2 linked regions of the Saccharomyces cerevisiae S288C genome follow. Changing the gene in region 2 together with the main gene of any one other region gives a genetic interaction. Each region holds a gene or a part of one and is shown on either strand. Other genes may lie near its edges.

What was found.
Region 1: mutations in OCA4 (region 2) and KNS1 impair growth when combined (synthetic growth defect), as found in Saccharomyces cerevisiae (2 studies listed by BioGRID, with this or other methods).

What each region holds. Positions count from the first base shown.
Region 1 is NC_001144.5:105,186-109,837, forward strand, and holds KNS1 (serine/threonine protein kinase KNS1), read right to left. Parts: upstream 2,715-4,652; coding exon 501-2,714; downstream 1-500. Other genes in the region: SPA2 (Spa2p), read left to right, coding at 1-162; COX19 (Cox19p), read right to left, coding at 3,491-3,787. UniProt on the Saccharomyces cerevisiae protein: Nonessential protein kinase.
Region 2 is NC_001135.5:287,091-291,696, forward strand, and holds OCA4 (Oca4p), read right to left. Parts: upstream 2,169-4,606; coding exon 1,080-2,168; downstream 1-1,079. Other genes in the region: aminophospholipid translocase regulatory protein CDC50, read left to right, coding at 1-847; YCR095W-A (uncharacterized protein), read left to right, coding at 2,549-2,707.

The sequences.
Region 1 (4,652 bases), on a different chromosome or scaffold from region 2:
GCGAAGGAAAAGAGCGATCAAGATTATGCTGACAAAAACTTCAAACAGCGGTTGGCAGGGATTGCGTTTGATGTTGCCAAATGTACAAAGGAGCTGGTAAAAACTGTAGAAGAGGCAAGTTTGAAGGACGAAATAAATTATTTGAATTCGAAGTTGAAGTAAAGTTAGTAGTATCTAGAGGAGAAAGAAAAGGAAGACAAAGACAATCAATAGAATGTATTATGTATGACATATAATAATAATAATTATAATAATAATAATAATAGTAGTAGCAGTAATAATAATATTATTATAGTATATTAAAACAACAAAAAATTAGTAAAAATACTATAAATGTTTGAATATGAAGATATATATGTAGGAAGAATTTTTATTGAATATAGAAATTTAAAGAAATATTATTAAAAACCGGAAAATGAAAAAGAAGAGTTAAAAAAAAAAAAAACGGAACTAGTAAAAGATGTGAAAAAAAGAAGAGAAAAGTAGAACGAGAACACCCACTATCCTTGGGTATTATTATAAGTTGCAATACCATCATCCAGTATGCCCAGATTAAACCATTCATGGTCCAGAGCGTCCTTTGCGGTAATCCTTTTTGTTGGGTCGAACTCAAACATTTTCCTGAGTAGATCGATGAACCAGTACCAAAACAAGAAAGTTTCCTTATCGAGTTCATCAGTAGTTGAGGAAGAAGAGGAATGTGTTTGTCTTTTCCATGCCAATTTCGAATTTATCAAAGACCAGTTTTTCTCCGGCGGTAGATTCCAATTGATGCTTAAGCTATCGCCGTAATCCTGTTTCAAGACCTTTGAGATGTAAATATCTAAGCGATCACATGACTGCAAGACCCTTTTCATTGACTTTTCGGTGGTTATGGTATCTCCGCGTTTATTTTTTTCAGGCCATTGTAAGCTTAAAGTTTTTCTGTCGAAATGCTTTATCACCGTTGAATTTAGGTCTGATGGAGAGTTGCCCAATTTATGTTTAGATTTGTAAAACATCTTATCAATAATGTCTGTGGGGAAAGGGGTTCCATTGATTCGTTGCATCATAGCCATATGTTCTAGATTTTCATGAATGGGGTAAAGAGATTCGCCAATAACCAGTTCTACTAGGACACACGCGATGGACCAAATGTCGCAGGGGAACGACCAGCCCAAGCCAAGGACAATTTCCGGGGCTCTATAGTGACGAGTGGATATTACAGGAGGATGATATTCGTAATGGAAAATTGCGCTACCGAAATCAATGATTTTGATTTCTGGATTTTTCAAGATTTTGCGCTTCCCCTTACTGGCTTCACGGCGTCTCTTGCTTAGCGACTGTACGGTTTTCAAAGGCAATTTTTGAGCAATATGGGTTTCGTCACAAATCAGGATATTTTCTGGTTTCAAATCCGTGTGTATTATGCCCAAATCGTGCAAGAAGCAGACAGATCTGATTAGCTGTCTGGCAATGGCCTGAATATGAGAGCCGGGGAACCTGGCAATGCCGTTGGAGCACATAAAATCGTAAATGGACCTGCCGTATAGATCTGTCACCAAACAAATGTGATTTTTGTAATCGAAGCACTCCCTTAGCAAGAGGCACTGGAACTGACCTTGAGGGTCATTATTCAGGATAGTCTGTAGAATTCTTAGTTCTGTTTTGGCGGCTTCTCTATATCTATCTACAGCCCTTATCACTTTTACAGCCACGTAATTAGGTTCATACTTGTTATCGATGCATTTAAGTACTTTACCAAACGTGCCTTGGCCCAATAGGTCCTTCACAACAAAGCGGCCGCCACTGCCAAATATGTCGTTTTCCTGGTAAACGTAGTGACCGTCTTTGTCCGTTTTGAAATTTGATTTATTGGATGATGCGCTTTCTGAAGAGCCGTTTGATGTAAATTTCCGTAGTGAAGAACCAATTTGTTTCTTGAGGTTGGATTGAGGCAGGGAAGCTATTTGTGCTGGTGGGTTGGAAAAGGGAGAAGTGCTGTGAGCAATCGTGAGATTCACTGCCTTGTTGCCCTCCAGAGTCTTTGCACACGACCCCGTTAGATGCAACAGCTCATTTTCAGTTTGCGTTACTCTTGGCACGATAGCGTTGGTTTGATCAGGAACATTAAAATAGTTCGATTGGTAGCTCAGCTTCGATAGAGGCAACTGAGGCAGTGAGATGGTTCTTTGCTTCTTGAATTTCTTTGGTGTCGTGATATACGTACTATTGCTTGTAGCTGCGGTACCGCACCCTGGATTATTTGAAGTAACAATATTATTGTTGTTATTGATACTGCTGCTACTAGGCAGAATCAAAGGTGACGAAAACTGAATTGGCTGCTCTTTGATAAAAATGATGTCATCGTCAGCATCCTCGTCCACTCGACTACTGTTATGATTATTACTGTTATTGATTGTGGTGTTAATGATACGCGGCTCCTCGTCTAGTTCTATGGCATTTTCATTGTCCAAGAACAACTGGTGTTGGTGTTGCCGAGGACGGAGCGGATTGTCTGCTTGATTCAGGTCTAGACTGTTCCTCAGATTGTCTGTTAGAAAAGAATTTTGCCGAGCAAACATCTCGTCCAGCAGCTTGTTTGTGCGCGTTTCTTCGAAATTATCCAAAAAGGTCTTGTTAGAGCTTGTATTGTTAGCAGGGCCCGTAGTAGTGGAATTATTCATATTTGCTCTTGAACGTTTTCTAGTGCCAATTTGAATATTCTGTGACATAACTAAGGTACGCGGAAGATAAAGCAATAATGAAGAAGAGCAGTATGCGTGTAGATTAGTCTTTGTTGTGCTAAATCTTCGACTTGGTAAATACTATGTTTCTTTCACTCTTTTTCTGTCTCCCACTTTGTTTCCTTTTTCTTTTTCTTTTTTTTTTTTGGGTTTGCTTGCTATCTGGCGCAGTATTTCGTGAATATAATATCTATTTAGTTAGCGTAAGCACGAGGAGTTACTGCACTGTTTCCTTTCACTTGGTGGTGAGGTAACAATACTTTGTAAATCCGGTAGATCTGGGAAGTAAATACTAAACTTTATTCTAATATAGGAACTTCATAATATAAAATCCAACGCACGATGCTAGAGATAAAAAAAGAGGGTGGGAGATGTGGAGCCAGGATTCAAATCGAAAATCGTAATCGGAAACTAAACCAGCATTGCAACCGGGCCATAAGCCATATCGTTAAGCACGCCAAAGCTTTTTCCCTTCGCTGTGTGTTTCCTCGCAACTTTAACTCCGGCCACTCACTAAGCCAAGGCGTGAGGAGAGAGACTAAAGCTTTGTGGAAAACCGCCCAATCACGCTGACCCCTTTGGCCCGTTTGCCGCCCCCTAGAAAAAAAAGAAACGGACGGGCCTGGGCCCGCACAGCCTCGAGCAGGGTCACTTCGCGCCATATCGGCGGCTATTTCAAAAAAAGAAGTTCTTTACCAGTTGTTGTAGAAAGTATGATATTACCAACAGCGTCTAGCTTTTATTCGATATTCCGATGTGGGCGGCTATTTATTATCGGTGGCGTCTTTTATGGTTTTACCGTTGTTGCCTGGAGCATCCTCAGGAAGACCTAAATGTGACCATTCATCGTAGTCCATCAATTGGTGGTCCATCCTGCACCGCAGGTAGTCCTTTGCCAGTAGTCTACAATTCATTGCATTTTCGTTCTGCACAAGCTGCATACATTTGAGATACTCTTGCATGTACTTGGTGCATTCGCCGTCGTGGTCTAGCGGGAACGAACCTCTCTCGGGTGGAGTAGGTCTCAATGCGCTCAGCGAGCTTCCTGGGTTCCCTGACATTGGATTCTTGTGTTATGTTTCGTAAAAGATACTTTGTGTGTAGTGGGTGCGTTTGCTTGTTTTCTTGAAGTATAGAAGAAGGAAAGAACGGAAGAAAAAATTTTTTTCCCTCTTGTTCGCTTTATTTGGATTTTCTCGTTTCTCAACTCCGCGAATTTGAGCCCTTTTCTTAGACCCCGGAGAGAAGATGCAGAGATGTAGTAATAAAAGCTTTTTATCCAAAAAGCTTTTAAGCTGTTGTTTTAAAAAAGGTTAAATGGGCGCTTTAGAGATCGGGTAGTGGGCAAAGCCTGCGATAAGAAAAGAGGGAGCGTGCTACTTGACCGGGAGCAGCAAAATGGGCGGCCCGAGCCTTAGATCATACTCATCGCCGATAAGAGTCAGCTTGGTAATAGAACCGCTGGTGCGTAAATGAGGCATAGAACTTATTATCGTCTTAAAAAACTGCCCAAAAAAATATTTTCCAGGTTTCTTGAAGAGTAATCTTGTTATGTAATTTTTTTTTGCCTGTGGATTGTATAAGGGACCAGAGGCGGTCAAAAACGCAAAAAGCGGCATGGTAGGCGAAAATACTAGGACGATTACTACTCAACTGACGCGTCAACTTAATATTGTCCTGGTACATAACCGAACCATCCCAGATGCGCTGTAAGTACTGTTTAAATGTATTTTAATATGTGCATAGAGCGTGTAAATTATGGCGAGCTATGGTTTCCGAATTGTCGGACTGCTCATAGCCCTTGCTTTCGGAATATTAGAAGTGGTCTGGCGGTAAAGAAAGTGTGACATATGTCAGACGTTGAGACTTATATGTGTAAAGCTAAATATAATAATTCAGTTAAAATAAAAGTGGGTGACAGGAAAA
Region 2 (4,606 bases):
ATGGAGGCTAACCGAAAATGAAAATGGCGAACAATCATGCGAACTGCAGTTCGAAATCCCAAACGATATCAAGAAATCCATTTTTATATATTATAAAATAACCAATTTTTATCAAAATCATCGCAGATATGTCCAATCGTTTGACACAAAGCAAATATTAGGGGAGCCTATCAAAAAAGATGATCTGGATACAAGCTGTAGTCCAATAAGAAGTAGGGAAGACAAAATAATATATCCCTGTGGGTTGATCGCTAATTCCATGTTTAATGATACATTTTCTCAGGTGTTGAGTGGTATAGATGACACAGAAGACTATAATTTAACTAACAAGCATATATCATGGAGTATTGATCGTCACAGATTTAAAACCACCAAGTATAATGCTAGCGATATTGTTCCACCGCCAAACTGGATGAAGAAGTATCCCGATGGGTATACAGATGAAAATCTTCCTGATATCCATACTTGGGAAGAGTTCCAGGTATGGATGAGGACTGCAGCCTTTCCCAAGTTTTACAAGTTGACGTTGAAAAATGAATCTGCTTCTTTACCGAAGGGTAAATATCAAATGAACATTGAGTTGAATTATCCGATTTCACTCTTTGGTGGCACAAAATCATTTGTACTGACTACAAATGGAGCTATTGGTGGTAGAAATATGTCACTAGGCGTACTGTACCTCATCGTTGCAGGGCTTTGCGCCTTATTTGGCATCATTTTTTTGGTTAAATTAATCTTCCAACCAAGAGCGATGGGTGATCACACTTATTTGAATTTTGATGATGAAGAAAACGAGGATTATGAGGATGTACACGCAGAGAATACAACATTGAGGGAAATTTTATAGAGGCCAAAAAACAAACTTTAGTGCCTGTAGGTATTTGTGTTTATAAGTAAACAAGTTTTGTTGACTTCCTGAAACGTAAACAAAAGAAAAATTGAAGTATGCCTTTTTACGCTTGGAAAATAGTGCGACAAAGAACTCCCAGGGTTTGCTATTCCCATTTAGATGATGAAATGATAGAAAAGTGGAAAACGTTTATCATGAAATCATCTATACATATACGTAAAAATGTAAACTATGTAAAAATATGTTCCCTATAAAAGTGATGCTCTTCCGGAACGTTTTCTTTTTCCCACAAATCTCGTTGAAACCTGAACCAATCTGGTAATTCAGAATCACAGGGTATCCTTATTTTGACGTTATCTTTTCCCCTTGCTTTATAATAGCCATAATCTCCATTTTCTTTTTTATTAAATGCTAATCTATACCTATGGCCAAAAATTCCTAGGTCAGAAGAGGTTTTCTTCAAATCGTCTCCTAGAACTCCACTTACTTGTAATACTTTATTATTTTTCACTTTGGTTTCGATTTGATTTATTAATGTCAAAAGCCGCTGAGGCACTTCTGGCTCTCTGCAAAGGTCATCTTCATTTACTCTAATAAGTTTGCCAGAATTGGCCTTATACTCTATCGAATGCGTCCTATTATTCTCAAGGGGCAATTTTTTTGCTTTGTTGTCCACAATTGTCTTATTATCCTTCTCCTGTTCTATCTCAATGTTAATTATTTCTAGAAATGTTTCCGCAAAATAATTTCTATTCTTACCAGAAAATAATCTGTACTCATTTATGATTGATGCAATATTCCATTTCTGAATTTTTCGAAGTATACCAATGACCAACGCGGTCTTATCTACCAATAAAACATTATAATTATCCACATTCAATAATGTTTTGAAAGTTCTTTTTAAACACGTGCTCTTAATCAGCATTAAGTCATCATTGTCAGTCAAGTGGTAAGCCAATTCCTCCTGAATTACAGGATCCCCTGTAGTAGAATTTTGTGACCCATTTGCAGTGGATTTTTTCTTTTCTTCCTGTAATGATAGAGTACTGTTATTATTCGAATATAAATTTGCGTTAGATACAGAAGAGCTTTTTACCGGAACTGCCGCAGCCGAGAAATCAGACATCCTTAAAACAATCCATTTTATGGATGATCTTGTGAAAAAATCTTTGAAAAACTTGGATGGTTCTTGACCTCCAATAAATATAGCTGTCTTTAAATTGAGAGTTTCCAGAAAGGATAAATTTAATGTCTCCACTTTAGAACATCTATATATTCCTTCTTCAGCAATCCCAAAGTTAGCAGGTGGAACCAGCATTATGAATTCAGGTTATGGATCGCACCAGTGCTGTAAGTGTCTCTCTTTTTATTCTACGATCTCCATATAACAACCACATCTCATTTCTTTACCTTACTGTCCATTTAATGCTAGAAAACTTCCGAATATTGTATTATTATTACCCGGATATGTCAAGGCGGTATATTAAGATGTTCCTTTCAAAAGTTTCATTATACCGCATACGGTAAGGACAGCCATAAGTAGTTTTACTGATAAAATATGGGGCTAAAGAACTGTATATTTATGGATAGCACTAAAAGTAAAGATTTTCCCCGTGTCCTGACTTGGAGAAACAAAATTTCATTGTCATAAAAAACTTTTAAAATATGATATTCAAAGCTTGAGCATTGGGCTTCTGGATGACAGTTCTAATCAAGTTGGGTCTAAGGATATTGCATGTATACAAAGGATTCTTTCGGAAAGTAATCCTGAAATATTTTTTTTTTTCGTCTGAACATACGAAAGTAAATAAAAAAAGTTCAATGCATGCCTTCCTATGCAAGATTTATAAAAGGTGAACAGGTCAGGAGCAGCCACATCTCAATAAAGGCAGTTAAAGACGGTGATGTAGGTGCAGAAAGAGAAAGTGAACAAAGGATGATTTGAGATGTGTAATGATTCGTTTGAGCAGCAACAACTGCTAAGATATTCATACTAATAGGCCACTTCACACATTATGCCTTGGAGAATATCCTGCATTGCTCCTTTTATAGTATAGTCTATTCAGCACTAACAAGCAAAGCGAACATAATGGTAAAACTAACTTCAACTGTTGCTGGTGTCGCCTGCATCGCTGGCCCTCCCCTCCACTACGGCCATTTTAGCACAACTTGAATGAGTCAACTTGGTTGAGTTGCATGTTAACGTCTCTGATATCAGAGCTCACTTGCTCAATAATACATGTTACAAACTGCCCACTAAATTGAACACTCTAACATTATATTGACCTGAATTATTTGAAACGAAGTCAACAGAATGATCACTGATTTTCCAATGTACTCCGCTATGTTGAAGCTAGCCATCTTAAGCGATCAATGACGGTGCTCAATCATTCTTCGAAATGGGCTAAAAATGACAGTTGAAATATATTCTTTACGTTCATTTTTTTTCATACTGCAAACCCATTCTAGAACCAATGGTAAAAGTGACGGGAGTTGCTTTCTTTTACTATTTCAATGATAGCTATAGCCTGCATACACACAAAAGAATGTAAGTGATTGCGTGAAAGCTTAAAGTCTTAAAACTGTATTTTTTTCAACTCCTCCCATATATTAAACTGGTCCTCACAGTTCGCAGGATAACTAACAATTAAAAAAATTGTTCATATGGTTGTATTTCTTTCCGTCTCACATTATTAAAATTCAACGAAGAAGTTTCTACAATAACAGACAAGGGCCTACGATTACTATGTACTGGAAGGTGAGTCTTGAATTCATCCTCAGAGATTGTTCTAAAGACCAACAGAAATCCATATAGATTACCGTAGTTACTCTGATGGAATTTCAGAGTAAGACCCTTGTCAACTTCATCACTTTAAGTTGAGATGTAGAAAGACACTTTTGTAAGGTCTCCAACAAGTATATTTGATAAATAGACTGTTGAGCTACAAAAACTCAATGTGAAGTAAAAGACCTCATAAATGATCGATTATCTGTTTGGCAGGTACTAATAAAACTGCATTGGTGTCTTTTTTCACTTACGTTAAAAAAAACTTTTTGCAATGATTTAAGCGTGCGTGAAGATAACACTACAATCCATTTTAAAGCAACATCCACATTGAGTGTATACACCACAAAGGTTTTTTCAGGGCGTTTTTCTCGCCACTTTATGTTGACCAAAATTATTAATGGAACTTACAACGTTTCCAAAAGTTAGTTAAATACATACGTCTATTTACTAAGCAAGAAATATATCATGACAAGCCCAAATATTATATTGTTATGTTTACAAAAAAAAAATGGCTATATACATCAAGTCTGGAGGCTTTTTATAACAAGCAAGTGGGGTAACTTAGACATAAGATTGACTTCTTTGAATTCAACAAAAATACATACTTTTGATGATTTCAATGGTAGAAGCAGTAGTAACTATGCCGATGAAATAAAATCCTGATATCATCTATATAGTAGTACTCACGTTACTAGTATATCATCTATAAGATGTAGGAAAATGTCATAAGAAATGAGAAACAGTCATTAAATTTAATGGAAACGAAATGCAAGGATTGGTGATGAGATAAGATAATGAAACATAGAAAACGAAAGGAGAAATAACAGTAGTATTATTATTATTATTATTATGTAGAAATATTGACTCTCTCTTGTAGATTCATATATCTTCAAGGGGAACTTCTTGTACATTTTGTATACCTATATTATAGCGTTTAACAACAATGGAATCCCAACAATTACCAAAAT